Linked DNA regions of Oryctolagus cuniculus. The protein of the gene in region 1 purifies or fractionates together with the protein of each later gene. This does not show direct contact. Links are inferred from orthologs where the notes say so. Each region holds a gene or a part of one and is shown in the gene's direction. Other genes may lie near its edges.

Region 1 (4,166 bases):
CTTTGTCAGGGAGGGCTGCGGCGGCTTGGGGCGGGGGGAACCTCGACCCGCCAGCAGCCGGCTTGCCCTGGACGCCCGGGGCCAGAGTCCCCCCTCCACGCTCACCGATTCGGGTCGTAGCCCCGCGGACCCAGGCCCTGGGAAGGCTGCTGATTAAGCCTGCGGATGTGATGGGTCACAGACTCCCCGTCCGAGGTGTCAGTCTGCTCCTCCCGCCGCTCCCGGCTCCCGCTGCGGCTGTTGGAACTGGAGCGCAGCCCATCTTGAAGTCCTGCGGGGAGGGGCCGGTGACGCCAGCGCTGGCCGGCTCTCAGGGGCCATAAGACCCCCCCCCCACGCCCCCGCCCCGGCCCCAGCCCCGGGAGGCCTGGCTCCCCTCCACCCACCCAACTTCCTCCGCGGCTCGGCCCTCCCAGCCACGCGCCCCAGGACCCCTCCGGATGTGCGCGGGGGCAGTCGCTGCTCCAGGGAGCTGCGGGAACGGCTTCCCCTCCCCCAGCTCCCCATCCTCGCCCACCCCTTCCAGCTATGGGGGAACCCCTCCACGGCCGCCCGCGCACCTCGGCGCGCGCTCGCCGCCCCCTCCCACGCCCCCTCCCCAGGTGCAGCGGGCACACCCCTCCCTCAGAGGTGCGGGAGCCCGAGCCCCGCCCCCTCCGCCCGCTCCCGCACTGACCTCGCTTCCGTTCGCGCTTGTCCTGCAGCTGCTTCTTCTTCTGCTTCACGCTGAAGGGCTTCTTCCTCGGCATGGCCCGGACCAGTCACCGGGCCCGCCCCTCCGCCGAGCTCCCGCCGCCTCAACTGACTCCCGGGGGCAGCCCCCGCCGCCAGGGCCCGGGACCCTCGAGGAGGCGGGGCTAGCGGGTGACGTCACGGACGGGCCGGGCCGGCCGGCGGCGACTGCCGGGACGGAAAGCAGACACGGGGTGGTCACGTCTCTCCCGGAGCGAGGCGAGGGGCTGAGGGGACGGGGCAGGCGGCCGGCACGTGAGAGTCAGCGGCACCGGCGGGGCGCAGCGGCGGTGGAGGAGGAGGCGCGCGTGGGAGGATCGGGCCCGCTCCGTCACGGACGCTACCAACGGGCGCCCGCAGGAGGGGGGGCGCGTGTCATCACTACCTTGCGCTCCCGGGAGACGCTACCACTCACCTGGCGGGGGCGGCGGAGCGGAGGGCGGGCCCAGCTACCTTCGGAGGGAGGGGGCGGGGACGCGCCGAGGCGACAGCACCGAGCGGGGATTGGCCTGGGTGGAAAGCGGAGACGGAGCACCCCGAGAGGGAAGCCCGCTTGCTGGCGACTCGTGGGGCACGGCCGGAGGTCTTAAGGGGCGGGTGGCGTTCTGCCGGTTCCCGGGCGCGGACCTGCTGGGACCCGAATTTCGATGCTAACGGGCGGGTCTGCAGATCCCAAGCGCGGGCGGGAAGGGAGACCCAGGTGGGACAAGGACTTTTGGAGGGAGGTCAGAGGGCACCGAGTTGTGCCTGCGGCTGTTCCCATGGTAACAGGGCACCGGAAGTGGCGACGTTAGGACGCGACAGCCCGCTCTCAGGCCGTCCGGCCCGGAAGCCCGTGGGCTCTGCAGCACACTGTGGTGTTTCTTGGCGGAGGAGAGGGCACTTGTAAGCACTTGGAGAGATGCAGCAAAGGTAAGGTTTGAGGTTGCCGCCGTGCCTAGCAGAGCGGGAGCGGGGCGGTTTTCGGGCGGGTGCGGCCGCGGCAGGGGCTCCCCGCTGCCTCCCGGAAGTGGAATGGCGGGAGCCTCAGCCCCGCTGCCCACCGGGCTCCCCCCGGAAGCGGAAACAGCTTCCAGCGTGCCCCTTCCTCACTGCCCTCCAAATCCCGCTGCAGCCATTGCCGCAGCCACGATGCCGAAACGAAAGAAGCAGAATCCGCAGCCGCCGCCACAGCAGCCCCCACGGCCCGAGCGGGAGGAGACTGGAGACGAGGAAGATGGTTGTCCCATGGGTAAGGGAGCGCACGTTCTCGGCAGCTGGGCCAGGCTGGGGCCAGGGACTAGGCAGGTGCGGGGGAGGGGGCGCTCACGGAAGGCGCGAGGGCGCACGCGCAGGGGAAGGGGCTGTCCTGCATGCAGCTTTAAGCCAGGAGTTTACTCACCTGAACTCCTGGCCTTTATCCGGCCCCCAAACCTTTCTGGAGGAGGCGGGGGAGGAAAAGCTAAAGTGCGGAGTGCGCAGCCGCAGGAGGAGAGGTGCGCGATGTTGCAGGCTGTGGCGGGTGGGAGCGCAGTCTGAGATCAAACTAGGAGGGTAGAATGCAGTGCGGCCGCCTTTTAAGCACTCCCCTGGGGGAGGGGGAGGGGAAAAGAGCTGTTTGATTGGCCAGCAGTTCAGGTGGGGGATTGAATTAGCCCTGGAATTACCTAGGATGTTGTGGTTGCACCAGTATGAGGGAAAGACAGTGGTCAGCGTCATTCCTGCATGACCGGGTTTCCTGAGTCTCTGCTTTCTAGCAGAACATGGAAACAGCTTGGCAGAGGAAAGGGCCCACAGATGGGGTGAGAATGTGCAACACTGATGATACATAGCTCACTTCGCTGATTGAGTTAAGGAGTGCATTCTAGAAGGACATCTGAGGACAGGATCATAGCCCATTCTGATGACGGTATTTTCATGTCTACTCTTAGGACCACCCAGCCTTCTGGGCCCTCCCCCCATGGCCAATGGAAAGCCTGGTGACCCCAAGTCAGGTGAGGAGGAGGGGACCCGGATCCTTGTATTAGATGCTGGAGAAGGGTGCAAGAGGAGAAGTGAAACCTAGCAAGAATTTCACATCTTACAATCCAGGATTCGATGCCTAAGTGAATGGAGAGAAGTTATGCATTCACAGACTGGAAAAGTCATAATATTGGCGTGAAAATGCAGGGAATCAGGGTGAGAGACTGTAAAGACAGTGTAAGTGAGAGGGCTACTCTGAACATCAAGATTTTTTGTAAAGCTACAGTGGTTACAGCTGTGACTTTGATGCAACAGAACAGATTAAAAAGGCAAGTAACAGGCCCACACATAATGAAAGTGCCTCAAAAAATTGATGGAAAACAGTTAAAACATAAGTTTATCTTGGTGCCTAAAATTTTCAAAGTGCATGCATGGTTTTTTCCTAATATGTGTTTTCTGTGAATTTTTTGACGTCTTCGTGTGTGAGCTCTTCATTTATAAAGATAGAACTGAAAAAGTGGTCTTTTCGATAAATGATGCTAGATCAGTTGGATAGTCGTGTAGGAAACGAATGGAATTTAACCTCCTCACAGTCTTAAAAATAACAGTACTAGTTGGACTGCAGATCTAAGTATAAAAGGTAAAAGAAAAATTATTGTAGAAAGTAAGTGTATATTCTTGGTCTTAGAGTAGCTAACAGTTCTTAGATGAGAAATACACATACACAAATTATAAAGAAAAGATTACTATATTCAACTACATTAGGTAACATAAACTTCTTTTAATCAGATGACATTGATTAACAGGAAGCCATAGAGTAGAAGACGGTATGTTCAACAAATATAACCAATAAAGAGCTCTTATCTGGAATATAAGAAGAACTCTTCCAGACAGTTCATTAGAAAAATTGGCAGAAGACCAGAACAGATTCTGGAGATCTTAATGGACCCAAACTGTGTGAACTAGTAGTCAACATCATTAGTCATCAAATACAGAATGAAAATATACCACGTTGGAGTTGGAACTCGTATGCATTATTGATGGGATTGTAAAATGGTACAAGCACTATGGAAAACAATATGGAATTTCTTCAAAAACTTAGAACTGCCATATGATCCAGTCCCACTTGTGGATATATATCCAAAATTATTGAAAGCAGGGTCTTGAGGAGATGTTTGCCCACCCATGTTCGTAGAGTATTCCCAGTAGGCAAGACCTGGAAGCATCCCAAATGTCCATTGATAGAAGAATGGATAAGCGAAGATAAAAGTACAATGGAATACCTTAAAAAAGGAAGAAAATGCTGTCACATAACTACAACCCAGATGAACTTGGAGGACTTTCTAAGTGAAACAAGCCCGTCACAGACAAATGCTGTATGATTCCACTTACATGAGGTATCTCAAGTCAAACTCATAGAAACAATAGAATGGTGGCTACCAGGGGCTGGGGGGCAGAGGGATGGAGGAAAGGGAATTGTTTAATGGGTACGG
Region 2 (3,559 bases), on another chromosome or scaffold:
TAACCCACTGTGCCACAGTGCTGGCCCTTGCTGTTTCTTGAATTTGCTTCGGTCACTCTTTGCCTCCCTGTAATTTCATAGCACTTACCACAATTCTAATAAAGTTGTTAATTATATAATTAGCTATTTCAGGTCTGTTTTTACACAACAGTGTAAACTCCATGAGTACAGACACTTGTCTGTGTTCCTCTTCTACAACTTGCTGCATAATGCCATGAACCTAGAGAGCACTTAAGTATGGTTGAACAAATAAAAGATTCTAGGATGTAGTAAGTATAAAAAAAGCAGGGAAAAGATTTATTTTTTGAATAGTGCTCTAACAGTTGTATATAAGAATTCTTTTTTTTTTTGTTAAGCTTTATTTATTTATTTGAAAGGCAGAGTTACAGAGAGGCAGAGGCAGAGAGATCTTCTACCTGCTGATTCACTCCCCAAATGGCCTATATGTGGATGTAGGGGCCCAAGTACTTGGGCCATCTTCTACTGCTTTCCCAGGCCATAACAGAGAGCAGGATCAAAAGAGGAGCAGCTGGGTCTTGAACTGGCATCCATATGGGATGCTGTCACTGCAGGTGGTGGCTTTAGCCACTAAGCCACAGCACCAGCCCCTGTATCTAAGAATTCTGTGAGGAGATGTAGCCAGAAGGGACAATGGTACGAGTTGACTGATGGTGCTGATGAGGATTCTGGCCGATCAGGCTAGTTGTGAGCCCATGTTTCATAGGAAGATGTTGTTCCTTCTGCTGTTCAGTTTAATAAGAAGCTTTCTAGTCTGTGTTTGGGAGCTGTAGTTTGTGTAATTCATTTACAGGTAAAAGTCTAAAGTACATTCTTTACTGTTTTGATTTAAAGGAACTTTGTTTACATACCAAGCTGTTAGCCCCAGTTAATTGTGCCGTTGCTGACTTCCTTATGAAAGCTCCTGAACCCCCGCCAGCTTTGATTGTAAGAAATGCTGTACAGATGCTGAAGGTAAGTGTCTTAATAGTTCCTAGCTTTTTTTAAATTTAAGATTTAAACTGAATGAGGATATATAACCTATTTATACTTTGAAAACATTTTAGTGTATCATGCACTCTAAATAATACTGTCACAGTAGTTAATAGTAGGTAATACAGTGTATTGTTCTTTTATGTAAGTATAATATATTTGAAGTGAAATATTTTTATGTGACAAAAGATTTTATATTTTTTTACTTATGGATTTTTAAGTATGTGGTGTGGTTAAACAGTGTTTGGTCATGTCAGCTTCTTTTCTGTATCCTTTTATTTAGACAATAGATGCAATGGATGCCTGGGAAGATCTGACTGAACTTGGATATCACTTGGCTGACTTGCCAGTCGAGCCACATCTTGGCAAAATGGTGCTGTGCGCTGTTGTTCTGAAGTGTCTGGATCCCATTCTTACAATTGCCTGCACTCTGGCCTACCGAGATCCTTTTGTGCTGCCCACCCAGGCCTCTCAAAAGCGTGCAGCGATGCTTTGCAGGAAGCGTTTCACTGCAGGAACTTTCAGTGACCACATGGCGCTTCTCAGAGCCTTCCAGGTACTAGTGCTGGGGCTTGTTTCTGAAAATGCTGTGTTGAACGCATTTCTGGGTAAAGTGTAGCAGTTTAAAGAGATAGAAAATAATTTCATTAGTTTTCTATTTTAATTATTATTATTATAGTCAAAACCTTAATGCTCCGCTAAATAAAGAGTTTAACAAATAAGAAATAAAAAGACCATAGTTCAGCAGGAATGTAGGCAAGGGCTTTAAACAGTAATCAAATCACAAAGATGTGTGTTTCACTCATATACAGTAAACTTTTAAACTGAGGTCACATTTAACTAATAGCCCAGAAAAATACTTCTTGCTGTTAATATGTTAAAAATATCAATCTTTCTTTACATGTTTTCCCCTCATTTTCTCCTTAGATGAATATTATATTTAATACTCATGCTTATTTTTTCATACTGAGCTCCTTATCTTTAAATCATATATTGGACAGAGAATGCTCTAAAATTTTATTTGAACGTTGTCTAAAGTTTACAGAACAAAGGTTGGAAGAAAATTATCTTGAATTTAATATCTATTGATTTTTTACTCTTTATTTTAAAATTTAAGAAGTATATACAGAGAGAGCTCAACTTTGTGTTGAAAGTACTTTTTCAGGCATGTAAGATTTTTCTAAAATACATTATTTTTTTAAGATTTATTTATTTGAAAGAGTTAGAGGGAGATACACATGTATACACACACACACACACACACACACAGAGATCTTCCATCTGTTGGTTCACTCCGCAGATGGCTACAACCTCCAGGGCTGGGCCAGGCAGAAGCCAGGAGCCAGGAACTTCATCCCCTACCCCTATGTGGGTGCCAGGGGCCCAAGTACTTGACTTTCCTAGGCCATTAGCAGGGAACTCGATTGGAAGTGGAATAGCTGGGACAAGAACTTGTGCCCATACGGTATGCCAGTATTGCATATACATATATGCACATACATAATATGCATATATTCACGTACATAATTCTTAAAAATAATCAAAAGTTCTGTTATGAGTGCTATGGAACAGTGGATGGCTGTTTGCTATTAATTGGGTGTTAAATACTATATATTATAGTATGGCAGTTGAATAGTAATTACTGGGATATTTGGAGTAGAATTCCTATCTGTTCTTTGCTTTCCCCCTGCTTCTTCTAAAACAGGATAATTATTGCTTTGGTCTTCGAATTACACCTAAAGCAAGAAAACTGATTTTCAAAAGGGAGCTTTTTATGCTGCATAGAGGGTCATTCCTAGAAATCCAAGTTTCCATTCTCAGATCAGGAGGTTGATACAGAGACTATGATTGGAAGACTACAGTGGCAGAATTCCTAGATACAAGTGGATTAGGATGGCGTAATTGAAACTACTCACACTTGTGTGGAATAAAATTGGCAGGTTTACCTGAGAATGTGAATATATCTCATAGCTGATCATTTAGGTTGTTTGACACTTAGTTCTCCTAGGGGTTTTGTAAACCCAATGACTTTCATAGTGTTTGAGTATGAATTGGTGATAAATTTGAAATTTATTTATTTGATAGGCAGAAAGAAATAGAGGCAGCGAGTGCCAGGAAGAGAGCTCATACAAGTGAGCTTGCCCCCATTCACTGGTTCACTCCTGAAATGCTATGGGCTGGGGGGCTGAAGCCAGGACCTGAGAACCCAAGCTAGGTCTCTCATATGGGTGGTGGGAACCCAGCTGATTGATCGATCATTGCTGCCTTTCTGAGTCCACATTTGCAGAAACTGGAGTCAGGAACTGGAGCTGGGAATGTACCCTGGGTACTCTGATGTTGGATGCAGGCCTCCTAACTGCAGCTTATCCACTGTGCCAGATACCTGCCCCTAATATCAATTTTATCTGATCATAAAGTGTTAGATTTTATAGAATAATTAGAATATGGAGAATTGACTTTGAGTGATTACCAATGGTGGTTTTCAGCTACTTTGTTGCCTCCAAGAAGTGATTGGTGGTAAATGTGTCTTGTTATGTAACTATTCTGTTTTTATAGGCTTGGCAGAAAG
Region 3 (3,559 bases), on another chromosome or scaffold:
TGTCCCCCACAGAGGCACCTGCCGCTGAGGCTGCTCATCATGTCGGCCACGCTGCGGGTAGAGGACTTCACCCAGAACCAGCGGCTCTTCGCCCAGCCGCCCCCCGTCATCAAGGTAATTCCTGGGGCCTCTGAGCCTCACCAGGGGGAGGAGGCTCCTGGTGGACCTCACTTTGTCACGCGGAGAGGTGTGCGTTTGTAGGCTGTGGCCCAGGTCAGGGATCCAGCTCCCTGTTGGTGCGCCTGGGAAGGCAGCCATGGACACCACCCACATGGGACACCAGGATGGAGTTCCTGCCTCCGGGCTTCAGCCTGGGCCAGCCCAGCCATTGTGGCCATTTGGGGAGTGAACTAGCGGATGGAGATCTCTGTCTCTCCCTCCCTCTCTAACTCTGCCCGTCAAATAAACACAGTTTCAAACACAAGCAGCAAGATCGGGGAGAGGGGGGTACTCCTGGCTGCAGCACCCCCCACGTCTTCTCTTGCCCCTGCAGGTGGAGTCCCGGCAGTTCCCGGTGACGGTGCATTTTAACAAGAGGACCCCACTGGAAGACTACAGTGGCGAGTGCTTCCGGAAGGTGTGCAAGATCCACCGGATGTTGCCTGCAGGTGGGCCTGGCGGGGGCTGAGGCCCAGGCTCCCGGCCCCTCCCTGAGGGGTTGGTGACACTCCCATCCTTGCCGTGCCTGTTTCTTCCCTGGTTCTGGAGTGTTCGCAGCACCTGCCCGGCCTCTTTCTGCCCAGAATAGTGCGAGCCTCCAGTGTGGACTGGAGCAGGCAGCTGAGGGCTGGGTTTGCGTCCGCCCTGATGGCAGAACACCTGGGCGCAGGCAGGTGCCCACGCACGGTCCAGGGGGAGGGCTGTGTCCCCTTACTTAGCTGGTGTCACCAAACCGGCTTGCCCTTGGCTGGGAGGATAGAGTGGATTGACATCCAAAGGAAACCATGGTCCTGGGCGCCGGCGCCACTTAGCGCACACACAGCCCCAAAACCCAGCAGCTGTGGTAGCTGTGGTCACTTCTCACCAGAGACTCTGGTCTTCCAAAGCTGGGCTCCAGGCTGCTTTGCCCCTGCTGCAAGGCTGAGAGTGGCAGGGTGCTTCCAGCACACGTGAGACCCCGTGTCCCCGCTCGCTGTGCCTGTCCTGCTAAGTTGTCTCGGTGCAGGGCCTCCTGGGTGCACGGCCGCTGTCTGGAGACTCTGGGCTGCACCAGGTGCTCGCAGCGAGGAGCCTCCCCGCAGCCTGGGGTCTGAACACGTGCGCAGGCTCCCGTGAGACCTCTGGCCAGTCCTCGTGGACCCGTGCTCAGGAGTGGCACCGTGGGGTCTCACGGCACCTCCATCTGGGGGTGACTCGTCCGCCCATGACTGTGCCGTCTGGCTCCCTGGGGCCCTGTGTCTCAGTGCTGGTTGCTAAGGAAGTGTTTGCTGAGTGACTGATGGGTAACACCGGAGCCTGGCTCTTCCCACAGGTGGCATCCTGGTGTTCCTGACGGGGCAGGCCGAGGTGCACGCTCTGTGCCGCAGGCTCAGGAAGGCCTTCCCACCCTCCAGGCCCCAGGCCAAAGGTAACCAGGGTGCGCATGCTCAGTCCCCCACTGCCCCCGTCTGGGGCTCAGCCGGCTGCCCCGCCTCTCCCTCTGGAGTCGGCGGCCTCTTCCGCACCCCTGAATTAAGTGGTCGCGGGCAGTGGCTTTGCTGGGTGACAAGGAGCAAAGCGCTCTGCCCTGCCCTGGCCACAGGTGTCTCTCCCCACCTCCCCTCATTTGCAGAAAAGGAAGACGAGAAAGACTCGGCGGAAGAAATGCGGAAGTTCAAGAAGTCGCGGGCCAGGGCGAGAAAGGCTCGTGCCGGCTCGGTAGGCTGGGGTGTGCTGGGGGCTCGGGCTGCAGGGCCGCAGTGTCCAGCTTGGTGGCCGCCAGCCCACCCTGGATTGGAGTGAAATGGGAAATCCTGTCTCCTGGGTGCACCACGCGGAGCTGCTGGGCCCCGGGCACCCCGAGCAGGGCCTGTGCCGATCCCCTGCTGGGGAGTGGGAGCAGAGGCTGCTGGGAGGGCTCCCCCAGGTGGCGGCGTGGACTCCCCTCTTGCTCTCACCTGTTGCACTTCAGTGTTGAGAGCAGCCCCAGGAGGTGAACCCCAGTTCTCGGGTGAGGAAACAGATATGTTTAGTGGCCGCCCGAGGGTCCCGGGGCCCACAGGGTGCGTGGGCTTGCTTGTGCTGTGCACGACGCCATCCGCAGCGGGGCGCCCGCAGCCCATGCTCTTTGTGTCTCGTTGAGTGTAGACACTGCCCCCGATCAACCTGGATAACTACTCGGTGTTGCCGGCGGGCGAGGGCGACGAGGACCGGGAGGCAGAGATGGACGACGAGGAGGCGGCCCTGGGCTCCGACCTCGATCTGGACTTGGGGGATGACGAGGCGGACGGAGGTGCGTCCCACTCTCAACCTCACTCAGGTCCTTCGTCTGCAAGTGTGTGGAGCCCCCGCTGGGAGGCAGCTACAAAGAACCCAGATCCCACCCTCGGGTCCTCGTGTGAGCTGCGGGAGAGCTGGCCTTGCTAGCTGCTTTGTCCACGCTGCACCCTGAGCTCCTAAGACTGCCTGGTGCGTGGGGGGCTTCAATTCCTGTGGTGTTGAGTGTCATGGGGGCACCACGCCCAGGCCCACTCTGTTGTGTGGACACAGGCCTCAGGGGTGCTGGGGGGTGCCTGGCCGTATATGAACTGTGTGCAGCCTAGGGCTGTGGGGGGCACCCCACAGGCTGACCCCAACTTCAATGGGACCAGCCTGGGAGAAGGGAATCCCAGTGGCAGCTGTGACGGGAGAACCCTCGGGAGTCTGTCCCCGGTCCCCAGGCTTTGCCTGCCTGCCTCGCCCATCTCACGGCTGAGCCCCTGGCAGTAGGGCTGGTGGAGGGTGCGGGGCGGTCTGTCCCGTCCAGGGCTGTCGGCAGCCTCTGCTCCCTGCAGGCGAGCAGCTGGACGCCTCCCTCCCCCTCCACGTGCTCCCGCTCTACTCGCTGCTGGCCCCAGAGAAGCAGGCGCAGGTAACGGTGCTCCGGGCGTGGGGGCGGGGGCGAGCCAGTGCTGAAGTTGGGCAGTGCCTGGGGTTCTGAGAGGACACTGGGGCCCAGGAGGGATGGACTTGGCCACCCACCCCCACCCCTCAACGCTAGGTCTTCAGGCCACCCCCAGAGGGCACTCGGCTGTGTGTGGTGGCCACCAACGTGGCCGAGACGTCCCTCACCATCCCCGGCATCAAGTACGTGGTGGACTGTGGCAAGGTCAAGAAGCGCTACTATGACCGTGTCACGGGCGTGTCCTCCTTCCGCGTCACCTGGATCTCCCAGGCGTCGGCCGACCAGCGGGCAGGCCGGGCGGGCCGGACAGAGCCTGGCCACTGCTACAGGTGGGCCTCCGGGTTCCTGTGCAGCCACCACTGAGGGTGAGGAGAGGCGCTATCCCTCCTCCATCTACAGGGGCCACGTGGCCCTGGGGCGTGGCAGCCAGCTTTCAGGTGCTCACATTTGTCCCTTGTTCCACTGCTGAACTCGGCC
Region 4 (4,036 bases), on another chromosome or scaffold:
CTAGTTCAGTTTGATTTTCCCTGTGCTGTTAAGATTCTGAAAACCAATATGACAAAACAAAATAATGAAGATCTACTTGATAACAAATGAGTTTTTCGTTGCACTTTATTAAATGTGCAAGGCCATCAGTTTGAGAATGCTTTCTTTTATACCTGTCCTATTTTAGTATCGCTCTGCAGGCTGCTTTGGGGACCAATTACTCCATTACATTATATCCAGTTATGTAGTGAGCCGAACCACCGTTCGTCTGGGGCTGTCTAGAGCGGTGACAATTAGGAGATGGAGAGAGGCAGAGGGAGATTGATTTTATATGTCACCGAAGCACGCTGCAACAATATGCCGGCGTGACTTTCAAAATGGCCTTAAAATATTCCAAACTCAGGGAGTTTCCTTGCTCCTGAGTGGGAGTTGACAGACTGTCTGGCAGTATTTGAAAGAGGCAAAGAGCTGATGTCTATATTGTGTCCTCTAATCACATCCTGTCTCTTTGCGGCATCCCTCCCCTTGGAAGGAGCCGTCTGTTTGTTGTAAGGCGCGCGCGCGTTTGTGTGTGTGTGTGTGTGTGTGTGTGTGTGTTCCCCTTGGAAGGAGCCGTCTGTTTGTTATGAGGCGTGTGTGTGTGCGTGTGTGTGTGTGTGTGCGCTCGCGCGCGCGCGCACCCGCGCGCCTGTGAGCATTGCCTCCCCCTGGTGCAGGGGCATGATTTCACCTCTCACAACCGGGAAAACCAAACGGAAGGACACTCACCCTCCCAAGGTCACCTAGAAAATTAGTGTAGTGGTCTGGGGTGGGGGCGAGACAGAACCCGCGCGACCCCACTCCAGCTTTGTGCTGGGCACTAAATCATTTTCCTTTCCATTTCGGGGGAAAGAAAGAAAAAAAAAAGCATCAGTCCGCGGGGTGTGCGGAGGGGGGGGGAGTGAGAGATTAATCAGATTTCCTCTTTTCCCGTACCTCCCCTCCCCCCTACGAAGCCAAGAACTCCAGAGAGCAGAAGAGGTGCCCTCTCCACCCCCGCCCCCACGCCGACACAAAGCGGTCTGGGATCGCAGGGCTCCCGCCGTCCTACCCGAGCCGGGGAGGTGAGCGGCGCTCCCAACTCTGCCCTCACCTCCAGCGGGTCCCGGGCTCCGCGGCGCGCAGGCCCCGCCCCCGCCCGCCCTTCCCCCACGGCCTCGGCCCGCCAGCCCCTCTCCCTGCTCCAGTCGGGCGCACCCACCCCAGATGCCGCCTGGCACCGAGCGCAGCCGCCGCCGCCGCCGCCGCAGCCGCAGCAGCACTTTCCACTTGTATTGATCCCCTCCCCGCCCCGCGCCGCCTGCTCGCCGAGCGGAGCGCGGCCCGCGCGCCAGCCCTTGGCAGCCCCGGCGCAGTCGGGCACCGGGAGGAAACTCCTTGGGAGCGCCCTGTCCGGGGTGCCCTCTGCGCGCTGCAGTGTCTTTCTCTCTGCTCGGGAGGAGGAGGAGGAGGAGAAGGAGGAGGAGGAGGAGGCGGAGGACGTCTGGTCCCGGCTGGGAGGTGGAGCAGCGGCAGCAGCAGCAGCCGCCGAGGCAGCCGCCGCCGCCGCCGCCGCCGCCGCCGCCGCCGCCGCCGGAAAGGGAGAGGCAGGAGCGATCGAGACTTGGAAACCCCAAAGTGTCCGCGACCCTGCACGGCAGGCTTCCTTCCAGCTTCATGGGCAAAGTGTGGAAACAGCAGATGTACCCTCAGTACGCCACCTACTACTACCCCCAGTATCTGCAAGCTAAGGTAAGGGGGCGCCGGCCGAGGGGCGGCGGGGGCGCGCGCGGGGTCGGCCCGGGAGAGGCGCGCGGCGCCCCCCGCCGCCCCGGGCGGAGTTGATGGAAGGTTGCTAACTATAGCGCTGGCCTGGGCAGAGCCGCGCTGCGCTGGGCGGCGGCTTCCCGGGGCGCCGATTGCGGGGATCGGGTTACAGAAAGCCGCGGGGGGAGAGACCAGACAGGAAAGAGCCGCCAGCCCCTTCCTGGCCCGGGAGGACGCGACGAGGGTCGAGGGGCCGAGCGGCGCCCTGCGCCCGGTGCTGCCCGGCCGGCGGCCGACGCCTGGGGCCCGCGGCGCCCGGACCCCCTCTCCAGGGCCTCGCCCACTGAGCAGTAACTCTTCTCTTCCCCGGGAGCGGCGCGGGGCCTCCCGCCCCCAGGGACGCCCCTCTACCTCGTGCGCGCGCGTCGACCGGGGCTGCAGGGCGGGGTGGGGGTGGGGGGCCGGGACGTTTTCCTGCCCGCCTCCGGCCCTGCGCGCCCGCCCCTCGCCTCTGATCTTTGTGCGGTGTGGCACTTCACCTGGTTACTGATTTCTACTTTTACGCTGGTGTTTTGGGTAGAAAAGTGGCCAAAGTTCACTCAGTGTTCATTGATGTCCCTTTGAATCTTTTCTGTGGCTTTTTTTTTTTTTTTTTTTTTTTGCAAAGGGGGGATAATGGGCAGATTTCAGCGCAGAGAAAGAAGTGAGTTTGTATTTAGTTAAAACAGGAAGAAAAAAACCCACCTCCTGTGTTTTACCACCGATCGATTTCCAGTGGTGTTTTTCCAAAAGTGGCCTGCATGCACTCTTGAGTTCCAGCAGCTGATGACATGTAGCCATGCCAATTACGACCGGTTTGGGGGGGCCCTGGGTACTTTGTTTAGAGGGCCTATCTCATATTCACTGTAAGAATGTGATGCCTTCTGAACTCATTAACAAAAGAAGGAGAAGAGGAACAAAGTTGGGTACGTGAAGAGTGGCGATTTCTGCTTTAGAAGCTTCTGCCACGGTTTGGAAGGGCGGAAGTTGGATGCAGCAGGCTCCTTAAGCCGTTAACATCTAGCACAGCTCCGCGTGCCTTTCTAGCTCAGAAAACGACCAGGTATGGATGCTGTGCCTGAACTTCCGTCGAGAGAGAAGGCAACCATGACCGGCTGGCTGGCACACTGGGCATCACTGGCCTGACTCGAAGAATCTCAGGTTCAGCCTTGAACTGTAAGAAAGTCTCTTAGAATGTGTGTGGTCCGTGTTGCATGTACCTGCAACACAGACCTGTATTTGCAAAAAGGACACTTGTCGGCATCAAGGCCAAGAATGTCCAAGCACTCCAGGGTCTCTTTCTCACTCCCCACATCACCCCCTCCTCACTTCTTGTTTTACTTTGAGTCACCAGAAAGCTGCAGGAGGGTACCAGCAAGGAAACCCATCTGTTCATTTCTGTGTGGTTCTGACGGGTTTGTTTTCAGGAACTTGGGAGATGCTCGATTTTGGGGGGTGCTCCATTGTAACTGTACAAAGAAATTTTGTGGCATAATCAATGCCCTACCTTTTAGATGTCTTATATATTTAATGCACTTGTTTAAATTATGCAGCATTGGGTGCCTGAAAGACAGCCTATTCAACACTTAACTATATGAATAATAAATACATACACTCAGGTGAAGAAGAAAATAAAAGCTGTGTTTCTACAGGCACATTTACCTTGGTAATTTTTATGTACCATTAGTAAGTTAGAAACCAAGTACCTAACATTTAATATAGCTAATGCAATGCCATTTGGCTTTTTTTGCCCTGTAAATAATTGAAGAGAGAGACAAACGACAAGAGCCTTCTCTGGTAATTAGGGTCGGATCCCAGAAAGCTTTAGGGCCCATTTTCTGAAAGTGTGCTTCCTGCATAAAGCATTTAATATTGATTTGTATTTCAGTAAATGACATTCTCAAAACGTATTTTGCTGTTTCTACTATGAAATCTGAAATCCTAATACTCTGGGTCTCTTTGTTTCCAAAGAGAGGTACATATACTCACTTGACCTATATAGCATCGTATTAAAGTTTGGTAATGAAATCTCAATTCCCGATGGTAAAAGTATCTTGATTATCTCAGTAAGGGACATCACCTGAAACTGAGAAGTGATTAGATGCAGATTTTAGGTAAGCAGGGTTTGCAACATGTAGACTTTTTCTTTTCCTCTCTCACACGTCTATTAGTAACAATGTAATAGTGTAGTTTAAAAAGATAGGCTTTGTTTGATTTGTAGTTAATTTAAAAA
Region 5 (4,293 bases), about 4.1 Mb from region 1:
GAAGGTACATATATACTAATTGAGATGAAAAATGTCTTTCTTGGGGCCGGCGCCGTGGCTCACTTGGTTAATCCTCCACCTGCGGCGCCGGCATCCCATATGGGCGCCGGGTTCTAGTCCCGGTTGCTCCTCTTCCAGTACAGCTCTCTGCTGTGGCCCGGGAAGGCAGTGGAGGATGGCCCAAGTGCCTGGGCCCTGCACCCGCATGGGAGACCAGGAGGAAGCACCTGGCTCCTGGCTTCGGATCGGCACAGCGCCAGCCGTAGTGGCCATTTGGGGGGTGAACCAACGTAAGGAAGACCTTTCTCTCTGTCTCTAACTCTACCTGTCAAATAAAAAACATTTTTTTAAATAAAAAAGTCTTTCTTGCGATTTTGACTCTTTGTTAAAAATATTTATCGTTACAATTATGAAAAACGAATTTATCAAGCAGCACAAAGATTGTGCAAATTTTTGCATTACGAATTTTTAATAAGCTAGAAGATTGTGTTCATGGTGCATCGCTGAAATAGACCACGTGTCTTTTGACTTCAGCCAGGTAAGAGACCCAGGCAACTTCACGGCTGTGAATTATTATAAGATGGAGAAAGTCCATTGTGAAGGGGAAGGAAGAGGGAGAACCTCTACCGCAGGCGCTCGCTCTGGGAGCCCAATTTTGGGAAAGCTGAGGATCTGAAACTTAAATCCTCTTTGTCAAGACCCAGTGGTCTTGGCGAGTTTTGTTGCTCAATTTGAAGGCTGTAGGCCTGGACGACTGGCGAGAAGTGACAGGGATTCTCAAAGGAAGCGTCAGGGATGCAAGGCCGCGGGCCTGAGGCAGGAGGCCACCACCCGCGCGTGGGCTTCGCGCTGTCCCCGCAAGCGCGCCTCGGGACGCGGCCCGGCCTCCCCCACGCGAGGCGTCTCCTCCGGCTCCTTCCTCACTCTGTCCTCGGCTCTCCCTGAGGAGCAGGAGACCACCGCGTCTCCCCGCACGCGCGGGGGCCATCGCCCAGCTGCTCCCCCCAGCCCCCGGACCCCACGACAGAGCCTCGAGGGGCCGATGCCGCCGCAGCGTCCAGGCCCCACTCGGAGAACAGCGCAGCGCCGCTCGGGTCCCGCCGGCTTGGACGCTGATTAGTTCTGAGGCGGAGCTCGGAAAGCCAGTCAACAACAACGTAGCGATAGTAATACCACCACCACCACCTTCAGGGAGCGCGGTGCTCGTTTGTACGCATGCGTCGACATTTCCCGGCCGGGGACGTAGCACCTGGAAGTGGAAGCGGCGGCCGGGCAGCGGCGAGGGGCGCAAAGCCCATTAAGCGGTGGAAACCGGTACCTGGGAGATAGGAAAGCAGGACCGGAAGCCTCACTAATTGCCCAGCGGAAGGAAAAGGTTTTATTTCCCCGTTTAGACACGCCTGCCCTTTCCTGAAGCCATGCACAGCCTTGGCGACCCCAGTTCTTCAGCCAGCCTATTCCACTGCCCCCCTCCCACCCCTGGGAAAGGTGGCTCAGTGGTCTCGGCACGCGACTAGCTGGCGGTTGGGCTCGAGGCAGGAAGTTTCTGATTGGCGGAGTCCCAGAAGCACCAGGTGAAAATAGCTCCGCCGGCTGAGGGCCCAAGTCACTGCAGAGCTGGGGCCGTACAACAAAATGGCGGCCCCCAGCAACTTCGGGACGCCCTGAAGGGGCAGGCCCCGCCCCCTACAGGTCAGGGGGAAGGGAGTCGCGGGCTAGGTGGGCGGTACTAGGCACGCTCGGTGGGGCCTTCCGGAAGCAGGAAGGCTGGGCTCCGTACGACAATATGGCCGCGCTTATACGCGTGTAGGCGGAAACTCCGCGGCTTCCGGTCTGTAGTGGGGCCTGCGGTGGGAGGGGGAAGGAAGGCGGAGGGAACCATGCGAGGTTCTGAGATCAGCGGCGAGGGTCGTCTCGTGAGACCGTTTCTGAGGTGCGGGCCGGACTGTGTGGGGAGCGAAAACGGGGGAGGGGATATCGAGGAGGCGGTACTGGGGAGACGCGGGCTCTGAGTCTGAGAGGCATGCTCTGGTACCTTATTCCTGAAGGGAAGTGGGGCGGCTAGGGGTCTGACCTGGGGGAGGGGGACTTGGCGGGAAGCTCATCTACCCTGCCGGCGCGACTCAAGGGTGGGATCCGAGAAGAATCGGGAGAGCCCACTGTAGGTCTCACGATCGGTTACAAGTCACAGAGAGCGACCAGGTAAAATCAGGGTGGGGTGAGAGGGAGGGCTCTTGAGGTGTCATACTCCAACCCAGTGCCCTGGTTTGAAGAAGCCCATCAGAGGGTGAAATACGGAGTTAATAGCAGGAGGGGAAAGGAGAATGGATCGTTGAGAGGACTGTTGGATTGTCTAGGAGTTGGGGTGATCATTAAGGGTGGGGTATGGGTTTGACATGTTTCGGGGTGAAAGGGGCCAGACGTGAGGCAGCCAGAGCGAGTGTGTTTTCCGTGTGTGAGGGTGTCATGGGAATCTGGGAAGCGGGACTGGGGTTGGAAGAACCAACTTGACAACTATGAGAAATAGTGGGGAGATGGAACAGAAAGACCGGAAGCCAATGTGAGAGGTAGAGCTGGGTGTGGCGATTGAATGTTTGCGGTTCCCTGTCCTGGGCCACTTGAAGGGCCCGGGAAGGCATCCAGAGCTAATGGTTGCAGAAGACAGGCAGTGAGGACACTGTTGGGCAGGGCTGGGTGTTGCTGAAACCCACGGAGATTGGAAACTGAGCTGAAGGGAGGGGCTATGCTGGAGGGGCTCTTTCTGAGGCCCCATCCCCTTCCAGCAGGAATTCTGAAACCCCCAACACTTCCTCCCTCCGGGGGATTTGATCCCTCATGGCCACCGCTAACAGCATCATTGTGCTGGATGATGATGACGAAGATGAAGCAGTCGCTCAGCCAGGGCCCTCCCACCCACCCCCCACTCCGGCCTCACCCCAGGCAGAAGCCCCTGGCTCCTCTGAGCCCCATGGGGCCGGAGGAAGCAGTAGTTCTGGCGGCAAGAAATGCTACAAGTTGGAGAATGAGAAGCTGTTTGAAGAGGTGAGCTTTAGGGGAGAAGATTCTTATACCCCAGGGAGGGGGATGGCGCACTGGCTCTCTGGTCCTCTCTCCCCCACTAACTGCACCCCCCCTTCTCTCTCTCAACCCCCTCCCTTGTCTCTTGTCCGCTCTCTTCTTCCCCCGAACCCTCCAGTTCCTTGAACTGTGTAAGACGCAGACAGCGGACCACCCTGAGGTGGTCCCGTTCCTCTCCAGTCGGCAGCAGCGTGCCCACTCTGTGTTTTTGGCCTCAGCCGAGTTCTGCAACATCCTCTCTCGGGTCCTGTCCCGGGCCCGGAGCCGGCCCGCCAAGCTCTACGTCTACATCAACGAGCTCTGCACCGTTCTCAAGGCCCACTCAGCCAAGAAGAAGCTGAACTTCGCTCCTGCTGCCACCGCCTCCAGTGAGCCCTCTGGGAGTAATACTTCTGCAGACCCGGCCTCGGAGCCCGGCAATGCTGAGGCCGCTGTCTCCGAGGCCCCAAGGACCCGTGGCTCCCGCCGGCAGATCCAGCGCCTAGAGCAGCTGCTGGCACTGTACGTGGCGGAGATCCGGAGGCTGCAGGAGAAGGAGCTGGATCTGTCAGAACTGGATGACCCAGACTCCACGTACCTGCAGGAGTCGCGCTTGAAGCGGAAGCTGATCCGCCTCTTTGGGCGACTGTGCGAGCTGAAAGACTGCTCTTCGCTGACCGGCCGGGTCATAGAGCAGCGCATCCCCTACCGCGGCACCCGCTACCCAGAGGTCAACAGGCGCATCGAGCGGCTCATCAACAAGCCAGGCCCCGACACCTTCCCCGACTACGGTGATGTGCTGCGGGCCGTAGAGAAGGCAGCTGTCCGGCACAGCCTCGGCCTCCCGCGCCAGCAGCTCCAGCTCATGGCCCAGGACGCCTTCCGAGATGTGGGCGTCAGGCTACAGGAGCGACGCCATCTCGACCTCATCTACAACTTCGGCTGCCACCTCACGGATGACTACAGGCCAGGTAGCGGGTTAGCGGGGTGCCCGTCGGAGGCAGAGGGGACCGCTCGCCCTCTCTGCCAGGGTGTGGGCTGAGTGCTCTGCTGTCATATCTTCCCATGTAGGCATTGACCCTGCACTGTCAGATCCTGCCTTGGCCCGGCGCCTTCGGGAAAACCGGACCTTGGCCTTGAGCCGCCTAGACGAGGTCATCTCCAAATACGCAATGATGCAAGACAGAAGTGAGGAAGGCGAGAGACAGAAGAGAAGAGCCCGCCTCCCCCAAGGCA
Region 6 (4,299 bases), on another chromosome or scaffold:
TGAGGAGCCAGGAACTCCATCCAGGTCTCCCTCGACCCCGCCATCATGGCTGCCTATCAGGGTGCACATTCGTAGGAAGCTGGAATAGGGCGGCACCAGGACTCAAATCCAGGCATTTGGATAAAGGAGGAAAGAATCGTAACCTCGAGCCCAAAACCTGCCTCTTGACAGATTTTTAAACTCTCTCTGTGCATGCATGCAAAGAAACTGATCAACGATGGAACAAATATAAGCAGTTCCAAAGAGTAAACATGATTACTTGTCTTCCTCGGCCTTATTCCATCACTGGATGCAAACTCATCCATTTGTGTATCCCTTCAAAAGCAGAGAAATGTATCACTATAATGCACAAACAGACATCACATCCACACACTCATATCTGACTCACAGCATCCCTTTTAATGTTTGAATATGGAGTGATTCACAACTTCACAGAGACCTGCCTACTCTACAATCCACGGCTCCGTGGGACAGATGTTTTACAACCGATTTAGCCACTTGCCCATGTATGGATTTAGCTTTATTGGTAGGTTATTGCTAACGGAAACAACAAATTAGAAATCCTAGTGCCGTCAGTGAATTAAACACACAAAGGATACAGCCTTGCAGGCCCCAGTGCTGCGGCTCAGTGGGTTAAAGCCCTGGCCTCCAACACCATCCTGGCCGCTCCACTTCCCATCCAACTCCTTGCCAACACGTCTGAGAAAGCGGCGAAGGTTGGCTCAAGTGCTTGGGGCCCTGCTGCCCCGTGGGAGATCCAGAAGCAGCTCTGGCTCCTGGCTCAGTCCTGGTTGTTTGGGCCATCTGGGGAGTGAACCAGGCTCCTGGCTTCTGCCTGGTACGGCACCGCCACTGGAGGCCATCTGGTGTGTGAATGGGCACTCTCCATCTCTCCTCTGTAACTCTGCCTTTCAAAAAAATAAACCTTTAAAAAGCACACCGCTTGCCTGTAACTTTTACATACTCTAATCGTAGGACAGAACCCATTCTGTTCTTTGCTTCTATAGTTATTTCTCTTACTTTTTCACTCTGCTCCCCCACCTCTGTCTTCCCACCTTTTCCTCCTGGTGAATTTTCAAAGACTGGGGCCCGTGCTGTGGTGCAGGGGCTACATCTCAGCCTGTGGCACTGGCATCCCATGTGGACGCCAGTTCATGTCCTGGCTGCTCCTCTTTTGATCCAGCTCCCTGCTAATGTGCGTGGGAAAGCAGCGGAAGACGGCCCGAGTGCTTAGACCCCGGCTGCAAGGACAGGAGACCCAGAAGAAGCTCCTGGCTCTGGATTGGCCCAGCTCTGGCCATTGAGGCCATCTGGGAAAAGAACCAGCAGATGAAAGACCTCTTCCGTCTCTCTCCCTCTGTATCTCTACCTCTCAATTAAATAAAATCTTTAAAAAAAAAAAACACTTAAAACTGTTCTTACATCAAAATAAACTTATCTTTCACATTTTAAAAAAGATTTATTGTGGCATTGCAGTGCCAGCATCCCATGCGGGCGCCGGTTTGAGTCCCGGCTGCTCCACTTCCGATCCAGCTCCCTGCCGACGGCCTGAGAAAAGCAGTGGAAAATGGTCCAAGTGCTTGGCCCTGCCACCCAGCAGGAGACTCAGATGAAGCTGCTGGCTTGGTTTGGACCAGTGCTGTGGCCACCTGGGGCGCTAACGAGCAGGTGGAAGATTGTGTCTGTAATAAACAAATCTTTAAAAAATAAGAGTATTACTCTGAAAGGCAGAGCTACAGAGAGAAGTTAGAGGTTAGGAGAGGGAGAACGCGGACGCCACGAGTTTTTTCTGGGTCCCCGACGTGAGCGCAGGGGCCCGAGCACTTGGGTCACCGTCCAGTTTCCTTGACCACAGCAGGGAGCTGGAGGGGAAGCGAGCAGCCGGGGCGGGCACCGGGCACTCCCCTGCGGCGTGCCGCTATCAGGCAGCGGCTTAACCCACGGCGCGCGACACGGGCCGTGGTGAACCAGTTCCCCCCGGCGGCCGAGCACCGCCATGGCGTGACCAAGATGGCGGCGGGGTGTGGCGCCAGGTCTCGTCACCCTGGTCAACTTCCCGCCGCGGGCCTGTGTCTAGGCGGTCACTTCCCGCACGCGAATGCGGGGTCAGCACTGCAGAAGCCGGGGAGGGGCCGCCAGACCCGGGCCAGCGCCCACCCGGCCCCGCGCGCCCACCCGGCCCCGAGCGCCCCGACCCGAGACCCCGCCTCCTGCGGCCGGGACCCGGAGCTCCGCCCCCCGCCGGAGACCCGGATGCGGAAGCCGGCTCCCGGCGGCCATCTTTCCTCTTAAGGAAGCATCTAAGTGGATTAAACACACTCCTAACTCGCGACCCACGAGGCTCATTTTCCCTGCAGGCCTCACCACAAACAGTCCAGGCTTTGCCCGGAAAAGCGCCCGGAGCCCTGGCCTCCCCCGCGTCGCTCGCCTAGCGGCTGTGGCTCTATCCATCCCTGACCTCACGGACGCGGCAGGGCGGCGGCCGGGCAACCTTGACCCCTCACCCCGGCTTGGTCCTAAGTCAGGCCCTCCGGCCGAGGGTGAATCCCGCTGCTCCGGTTCCTCAGCCTCCCTGACAGCACGTGCTCACGCGAACGCCGGGACTCCGGGACCGTCAGAAAACGGCGCCCGGCTCGCTCGGCCGAGGGACGGTCAGAGCTGACCAATCAGCGCGCGGCGAGGGGCCGCGGGGCCGCCTTCGGGGCGCGCATGCGCACTGTCCCGGCTCGGGCGATGAGCGGCACCCGGGCCTTGGGCCGCGTCGGGGGCGGCTGGCGGCGATGGACAGGGGCGCGCGCGGCGACCCGGGATGCAGGCTTTGGCGCCGAGGCCCGGTGATTGCCACAGACCCTGCTCTGTGTAGGAGGGAGGCTGGGGCGGGGTCGCGATCGTGTGTCCCGGCTCGCCCCGAGTCTCGGCTGCGAAGTGCGGCCCCGCGGGACGGGGACACGCGGGGAGCTCGGCCCGGCGCTCGGGGTGCGCGTCAGAGGCGGCAGGCGCGGGAGGGCCGGGACGCGGGCATCGGGGGAGGTGAGCGACGCCCCTGCCGCTCAGCCGCATCCTTTGCAGGTCGCGGCCGCCTGGGGACCAGCCTTTCCCGGGCCTGCTGCCGTCCGAGACCCTCAGCCGGGAGCAGCTGGTGGACGTGCTGAGGGCGGCCGTGGTGGACCGGAAAGGTGAGGCTGCAGGCACAGGTCGCAGCCTGGCTGTGCCTCCGCATCCTGGGGCGTTGGAGGGGCGGTAAGAGGGCAAAGAGTGCAGAGTGTGGAGAGCCTTGCACGCGGCTGGCACTCCCGAATTGCAATCGCTGTAATAGTCACGCAGTTTATTGATGCAGAAAACACGAGCTTTAGGGCCTGGTGCTGGGAAGGAGCCAGTAAAACGCGAGTTCGCGTCCCGGCTGCTCCACTTCCGATCCAGCTCTCTGCTGTGGCCTGGGAAAGCTGCAGAGAGTGGTCCAAGTGCTTGGGACCCTGCACCCATGTGGGAGACCCGGAAGCTCCTGGCTCCTGCCTTCGGATTGGCCCAGCCAGTTTGGGCAATGAGCCAATGGATGGAAGTACTCACTTTTTCAAATAAATAAATCTTAAAAAACAAACAGGATTTGCACATTTATTATTGATGATTCTGCGTTTTAGATTTGAAATGCAGAGTGATGGGGGTGGGGGGAGATGCTCTTTCGTTTGCTGGTTTACTCCCCAGTTGTCAGTAATGGCTTGGGCTAAGCCAGGACAAAGCTAGGAGCCAGAAACTCCATCCTGGTCTCATACGTGGGTGGCAGGGTCCCAAGTACTTGAGCCACCTTCTGCTTTTCCATGCACACTGGCAGGAGGCTGGGACTTGAACCCACACTCCTATGTGGGGTCCCACATTGCAGGCAGCAGCTTAACCTGCTGTGCCACAACGCCAGCCCCGCGTACATTCAGGGGTCAGCTTGCTGTGTGGCTTCAGGGAAACCGATTTCCTCGTTTGGTGCCTTGCTCATTTCCTCAGGTGCTGATCATGGGCTGTGTTCACGGCAGGCCACGCCGTGCTGAGAGCGCTGTGGGTCCCACCCTCAGGGAGCCCGCGTGCTAGTGGGAGCAGGGTTACTCAGAAACTAAGTGAGGGAGTGACCAGTGGTCACCGGGCTGCTACGGAGACATGGCTGTATGGGGTCACGGCCTTAGTCTGGGGAGCCAGGCTGCTCTGTGTCGTGACATGACAGGCCTCAGGATCCGGGACAGGGCACAGCACGTGCAGAGGCCACGGTGGCAGTGGGCTTGGAGCATGTGCGGGCCCAGCACTCACGTCTGCGGG
Region 7 (4,233 bases), on another chromosome or scaffold:
ATGGTACACCATAATTATCATATTTGGACTCTTGCCATAACAGCAAAGGAAGAACTTCTACCCATCCTGTCACTAGACTTCTATCCCAGCAGAGTAAGGATGGACCTTTGCTACAGATATCAAGAGTTTACGGCACAGTAAGCTTTTTAGTGTTACATGCTAACACCTCCAAACACTTAGCATAAAGTTAACTAACTTGTGCCCCAACCACCAACAATATGGGGTATAGCATATTGTGTAAAAATGAAATCAGTGTTAAACTAGCTGTCACCTAACAAGATTTGTGATCTCAGGGGCCGGCACTATGGCACAGCGGGTTAAAGCCCTGGCCTGAAGCACCGGCATCCCATATGGGCCCCAGTTCTAGTACTGGTTGCTCCCCTTCCCATCCAGCTCTCTGCTATGCCCTGGGAAAGCCGTACAAGATGGCCCAAGTCCTTGGGCTCCTGAACGAACCCCTGTGGGAGACTCAGAAGAAGCTCCTGGATCCTGGCTTCAGATCGGGGCAGCTCTGACCGTTGCAGTCGTCTGGGGAATGAACCAGCGGATGGAAGACCTCCCTCTCAGCCTCTACCTCTCTCTGTAACTCTTTCAAATAAATAAAATAAATCTTTAAAAAAAATTGTGATCTTGCACATATTTAACCATTAGAAGTCTCACTTTCCTCAAGTGCAAAATGGGGCTGACAGCAGGATATGCCTTGGTAGGAACTAGATTACATAGAAGGATTTTCTTCCTTAATTTTGAAAATTTATTTTTAAACACAGAGAGAGAATCTCCTGTTGATTCACTCCTCAAATCCCAGCAACAGCAGGGGTGAAGCCAAGCCTAAGTCAGGGACTGGTCATTTAACCCGGGTCCCCTACGTGACAGGGACCCGAGGACTTGGGCCATCACCTGCTGCCTAGCAGGGTGTGCACCAGCAAGAAACTGGAATGCGGAACCCAGGAACTCTGATATGGGATGCTGACTTCCCAACAGACCCCAAGGAGAAGTTCCTAGCACATTACCTAGCATGTGGGCGTTCTCAGCAAGCGTTAGCGTTAGCTTATTGCTAACTGACGAGAAACTGACAACTAATTAAACTGTTAACTAAATTATTAATTTACTACCTTTAGTAGTTTAAATCTGGTTTCCTCACCTTTTCATTACTGCATTCTCCGGTTCACAGAGGAAAACAACTCCAGATTCAGTTCTACAGGGAGAAAAGCAACCAGATTTTGACAGCCGAAAGCCCGCCTCCGTCCCTCATGCCCCGCCCCCTCAATTTCGGGCTCTGCAGCACCCCCTTTCCGCCGATCAGGTCGGACCTGACTTCCAAGTCCCGCCCACGAACGGCTTCCGCCGCGAGTAGATTTACATATCGACTGCTTATTGGCTACTAATGAGCACTCCTTCTTCTCATTGGTTGATGCTGTCTCGAGCGAAATCCCGGAGGAAGTTCCGCGCGTCGTTGGGAGCTGAGGGTCACTTTCGTTTCTGTTTCCGGTTCGCCTGCGAAGGCATGGCGGCTGCGTCGGGAAAGAGGTTGCCCTCGATATTGGGCAGATGGCGCCGCGGGCTTCGAATGGCCCCCCAGTCCCGGGTGAGTACCTACTTTCTCTGCTCCCGAAGAAGCTCTGGGACCCTAGAGACAGCTGCGCTCCAAGAAGGAGCTGTTTGGCAGCCGCTTCCTTTAATTGAGAGCCCTCAGTCTTCCTTTGTGGCTGGCACCCAGCTTTCCTTTCTCGGCTTCCAGGCGCTGGCGGCCCTTGTTCGCGGCGTGAGTCAGGTAGATAACAAGTCCGATTTTCTGGGGAAGAAGCCTCACCGTCGGCACCCTGGCATCCTACGTCTGCCGTGCGTGCAACTGCCACAGGCACTGGCTGACGCCGCCCAGCTACTGCTACTCCGTAAGTAACGGCGGGAAAGGGGTATCCGAGGAGAAAAAGAAATGGGCCTTTGCACACAGGTAATTCTGCTTTTCATCTCTGGCCTCCAGAGAACGCAGTGCCCAATGTGGAGAAGCATGTGCAAGCACTGACCAATTATCTCTGGAGCCGACACTTGCCCGTAGAACCTGAGGAGCTACAAAGACGGGCTGTGAGTCTGGAGAAAAAGTTCCTGGAAAACGCAGGTAGGATTGAAGACTGATGAAAGATTAGGCCGGATTGAAACTGGGGAATGAAGTGCAAGAGATAATTTTACAGTCTCTCAAATAGATATTGGAGTTTCTTATTTGACTTTCCACCTTACTGGAAGATAGATTTGTTCCAGAGACTACCCTTGGGACGTGAGGAAGGGACAGAGTATGGCAATTGAAATCTGGATCCCAGTTGGGACCATCTACTTTTTTTTTTTTTTTTTTTTGACAGGCAGAGTGGATAGTGAGAAAGAGAGAGAGAAAGGTCTTCCTTTTGCCGTTGGTTCACCCTCCAACGGCCACTGTGGCCGGCGCACGGCGCTGATCCGAAGGCAGGAGCCAGGTGCTTCTCCTGGTCTCCCATGGGGTGCAGGGCCCAAGGACTTGGGCCATCCTCCACTGCACTCCTTGGCCACAGCAGAGAGCTGGCCTGGAAGAGGGGCAACCGGGACTAGAACCCGGTGTGCCGGCACCGCTAGGTGGAGGATTAGCCTATTGAGCCGCAGCGCTGGCCCATTCTTATTAAGGTGAAAGTCCCTGTAAAGTTAACTGCCTAATGCTGAAAACCTCTGGGATTGGAGAATACATGTAATATATTCACGGTTGTGAGCTCCTTCGTCTTACAGACCTTTTATTTATCTTGTGTCCCCTACACCCCCCACAATCTGGCTCTGAATGGGCATTTAGTACATACTTGCCAAACACAATAGAGTCCCTTTTCCACCTATAGGAACATTCAAGATGTCACAGTCTTAAGTTTTGGGGAAGTGAGGAAATCCACAAAATAATTGTCCTTCTCTTATCCTTTAAATCTAAATTGTATTTTCCTTTATTATAGAAAAAAATTTGTTGGGTAGGGTCAGTTAAGTTGAATATACTGCTGTTGGAGGCAAATACTATCTCATACACTCTAGGGGTGCTGGTGGTGATTATCCTTAGCTGAAATTTTTCTCTAGGTTTGGCTGCTTTCTTGAGCTTTGAGGCTTTTCCAGTGGGAGAGGGGAGAACCGGGAGGGCAGTGAATTAAATATTGGATCTGGTCTCTGTTCTCCTTAGGTCCTCACTTCCAGTCCTTGTTCTCACCGCAGACTCATCCCAGACAGAAGAAAAGCTTCGTGGAGCAGTGCTACATGCCCTGCGCAAAACCACCTACCATTGGCAAGAACTGAGGTGAGGGGGACTAGAAAACATGCAGAAGGAAGAAAAGTTGGACTTGAAAAGGAGAATGGAGCCGCACAATTGCATGATCAATGCAGTGTTTGAAAAAGTGCCTGAGTGATAGTGATCCCCAGGACCACTCTGCCCTGGGGAGTGAAAAGCTAAAGTGGAAGAGCCCTTTCCAAGATCTTATTTCCTCGCAATGGTCAGCAGGTGTGACTCTGATTTTTGTGCAGCTACAATGAAGGACTGAGCCTGGTGTATATGGCAGCGAGACTGGATGGTGGCTTCGCGGCAGTCTCCAGGGCATTCCATGAGGTGAAAAATCTGTGTCTAACTTGAACGCTCTTACCTGCTGTTCCCTTATTGATTCATAATGTAGTCTGTACGGTAGGGATTCTTAGGGTGCTGCGTAGGCTTTTATGCTTTGCTTTTTTTTTTTCTTTCTTTCTTAAAGTTCTCTTGTCCTGTAAAAGGATTCTGTGACCCAAGAAAGGTTCAGAACCACTATTTTAGGAGCTTGTTGTTAAGTGTTTATGTTGAATCTCAGAATGTGTTCACATCTTTCTTCCTCTGTCATAGTCCCCTAATTCATATTTACTAAGGCACTAAATAAGTATCTGCTTACCATACTGTGGGGTGTTGTGTGTTTCTCCAGATCCGAACTCGAATTCCAGAGTTTCAGCCACAAACCTTAATGGACTTTGGCTCGGGTACTGGCTCTGTCACCTGGTGAGTAACTTGCTTCATCCCTTTCTCAAGTCTAGTTCTAGAAGGCCACACTTAACACCAATCCAGTATCAAGAACTTGAAAAACCACAGGAAAAATAGGAAAGTTGAGAACCTAGAATGTTTCTTCTCTCCGATTAGGCGAGGCAGAAGAAGGTATATGGGTTAGGGCCAGGATTTAAAAGAAGTATCATAGTGAAAAAAGACCCATATCTGAAAAGTTT

What was found.
Region 2: the proteins of PRR3 (region 1) and YTHDC2 purify together in Homo sapiens (co-immunoprecipitation; 3 studies listed by BioGRID and IntAct, with this or other methods). This does not show direct contact. The link is inferred for Oryctolagus cuniculus from reciprocal best matches to the Homo sapiens genes PRR3 and YTHDC2.
Region 3: the proteins of PRR3 (region 1) and DHX37 purify together in Homo sapiens (co-immunoprecipitation; 3 studies listed by BioGRID and IntAct, with this or other methods). This does not show direct contact. The link is inferred for Oryctolagus cuniculus from reciprocal best matches to the Homo sapiens genes PRR3 and DHX37.
Region 4: the proteins of PRR3 (region 1) and RBMS1 purify together in Homo sapiens (co-immunoprecipitation; 3 studies listed by BioGRID and IntAct, with this or other methods). This does not show direct contact. The link is inferred for Oryctolagus cuniculus from reciprocal best matches to the Homo sapiens genes PRR3 and RBMS1.
Region 5: the proteins of PRR3 (region 1) and DAXX purify together in Homo sapiens (co-immunoprecipitation; 3 studies listed by BioGRID and IntAct, with this or other methods). This does not show direct contact. The link is inferred for Oryctolagus cuniculus from reciprocal best matches to the Homo sapiens genes PRR3 and DAXX.
Region 6: the proteins of PRR3 (region 1) and RPUSD3 purify together in Homo sapiens (co-immunoprecipitation; 3 studies listed by BioGRID and IntAct, with this or other methods). This does not show direct contact. The link is inferred for Oryctolagus cuniculus from reciprocal best matches to the Homo sapiens genes PRR3 and RPUSD3.
Region 7: the proteins of PRR3 (region 1) and METTL17 purify together in Homo sapiens (co-immunoprecipitation; 3 studies listed by BioGRID and IntAct, with this or other methods). This does not show direct contact. The link is inferred for Oryctolagus cuniculus from reciprocal best matches to the Homo sapiens genes PRR3 and METTL17.

The regions. Positions count from the first base shown.
Region 1 is NC_091436.1:139,856,941-139,861,106, reverse strand, and holds the start of PRR3 (proline-rich protein 3), read left to right. Parts: upstream 1-1,350; 5' UTR 1,351-1,644; intron 1,645-1,846; 5' UTR 1,847-1,863; coding exon 1,864-1,963; intron 1,964-2,642; coding exon 2,643-2,705; intron 2,706-4,166. Other genes in the region: GNL1 (guanine nucleotide-binding protein-like 1), read right to left, coding at 106-271, 677-749.
Region 2 is NC_091437.1:4,437,423-4,440,981, forward strand, and holds part of YTHDC2 (3'-5' RNA helicase YTHDC2), read left to right. Parts: intron 1-852; coding exon 853-972; intron 973-1,273; coding exon 1,274-1,546; intron 1,547-3,546; coding exon 3,547-3,559. UniProt on the Homo sapiens protein: 3'-5' RNA helicase that plays a key role in the male and female germline by promoting transition from mitotic to meiotic divisions in stem cells.
Region 3 is NC_091452.1:5,101,057-5,104,615, forward strand, and holds part of DHX37 (probable ATP-dependent RNA helicase DHX37), read left to right. Parts: intron 1-12; coding exon 13-114; intron 115-493; coding exon 494-608; intron 609-1,471; coding exon 1,472-1,567; intron 1,568-1,771; coding exon 1,772-1,857; intron 1,858-2,286; coding exon 2,287-2,431; intron 2,432-2,972; coding exon 2,973-3,049; intron 3,050-3,178; coding exon 3,179-3,411; intron 3,412-3,559. UniProt on the Homo sapiens protein: ATP-binding RNA helicase that plays a role in maturation of the small ribosomal subunit in ribosome biogenesis. Required for the release of the U3 snoRNP from pre-ribosomal particles.
Region 4 is NC_091434.1:81,413,105-81,417,140, forward strand, and holds the start of RBMS1 (RNA-binding motif, single-stranded-interacting protein 1), read left to right. Parts: upstream 1-1,207; 5' UTR 1,208-1,674; coding exon 1,675-1,749; intron 1,750-4,036.
Region 5 is NC_091436.1:135,802,923-135,807,215, forward strand, and holds the start of DAXX (death domain-associated protein 6), read left to right. Parts: upstream 1-1,435; 5' UTR 1,436-1,574; exon of another isoform or gene 1,575-1,692; intron 1,693-1,799; exon of another isoform or gene 1,800-1,933; intron 1,934-2,065; exon of another isoform or gene 2,066-2,202; intron 2,203-2,783; 5' UTR 2,784-2,835; coding exon 2,836-3,042; intron 3,043-3,196; coding exon 3,197-4,028; intron 4,029-4,128; coding exon 4,129-4,293. UniProt on the Homo sapiens protein: Transcription corepressor known to repress transcriptional potential of several sumoylated transcription factors. Down-regulates basal and activated transcription.
Region 6 is NC_091441.1:116,871,559-116,875,857, forward strand, and holds the start of RPUSD3 (mitochondrial mRNA pseudouridine synthase RPUSD3), read left to right. Parts: upstream 1-1,441; 5' UTR 1,442-2,709; coding exon 2,710-2,834; coding exon of another isoform or gene 2,835-2,859; intron 2,860-3,069; coding exon 3,070-3,176; intron 3,177-4,299. UniProt on the Homo sapiens protein: Catalyzes uridine to pseudouridine isomerization (pseudouridylation) of specific mitochondrial mRNAs (mt-mRNAs), a post-transcriptional modification necessary for their translation.
Region 7 is NC_091443.1:53,913,159-53,917,391, reverse strand, and holds the start of METTL17 (ribosome assembly protein METTL17, mitochondrial), read left to right. Parts: upstream 1-1,427; 5' UTR 1,428-1,504; coding exon 1,505-1,585; intron 1,586-1,738; coding exon 1,739-1,892; intron 1,893-1,981; coding exon 1,982-2,116; intron 2,117-3,210; coding exon 3,211-3,292; intron 3,293-3,516; coding exon 3,517-3,598; intron 3,599-3,938; coding exon 3,939-4,012; intron 4,013-4,233. UniProt on the Homo sapiens protein: Mitochondrial ribosome (mitoribosome) assembly factor. Binds at the interface of the head and body domains of the mitochondrial small ribosomal subunit (mt-SSU), occluding the mRNA channel and preventing compaction of the head domain towards the body.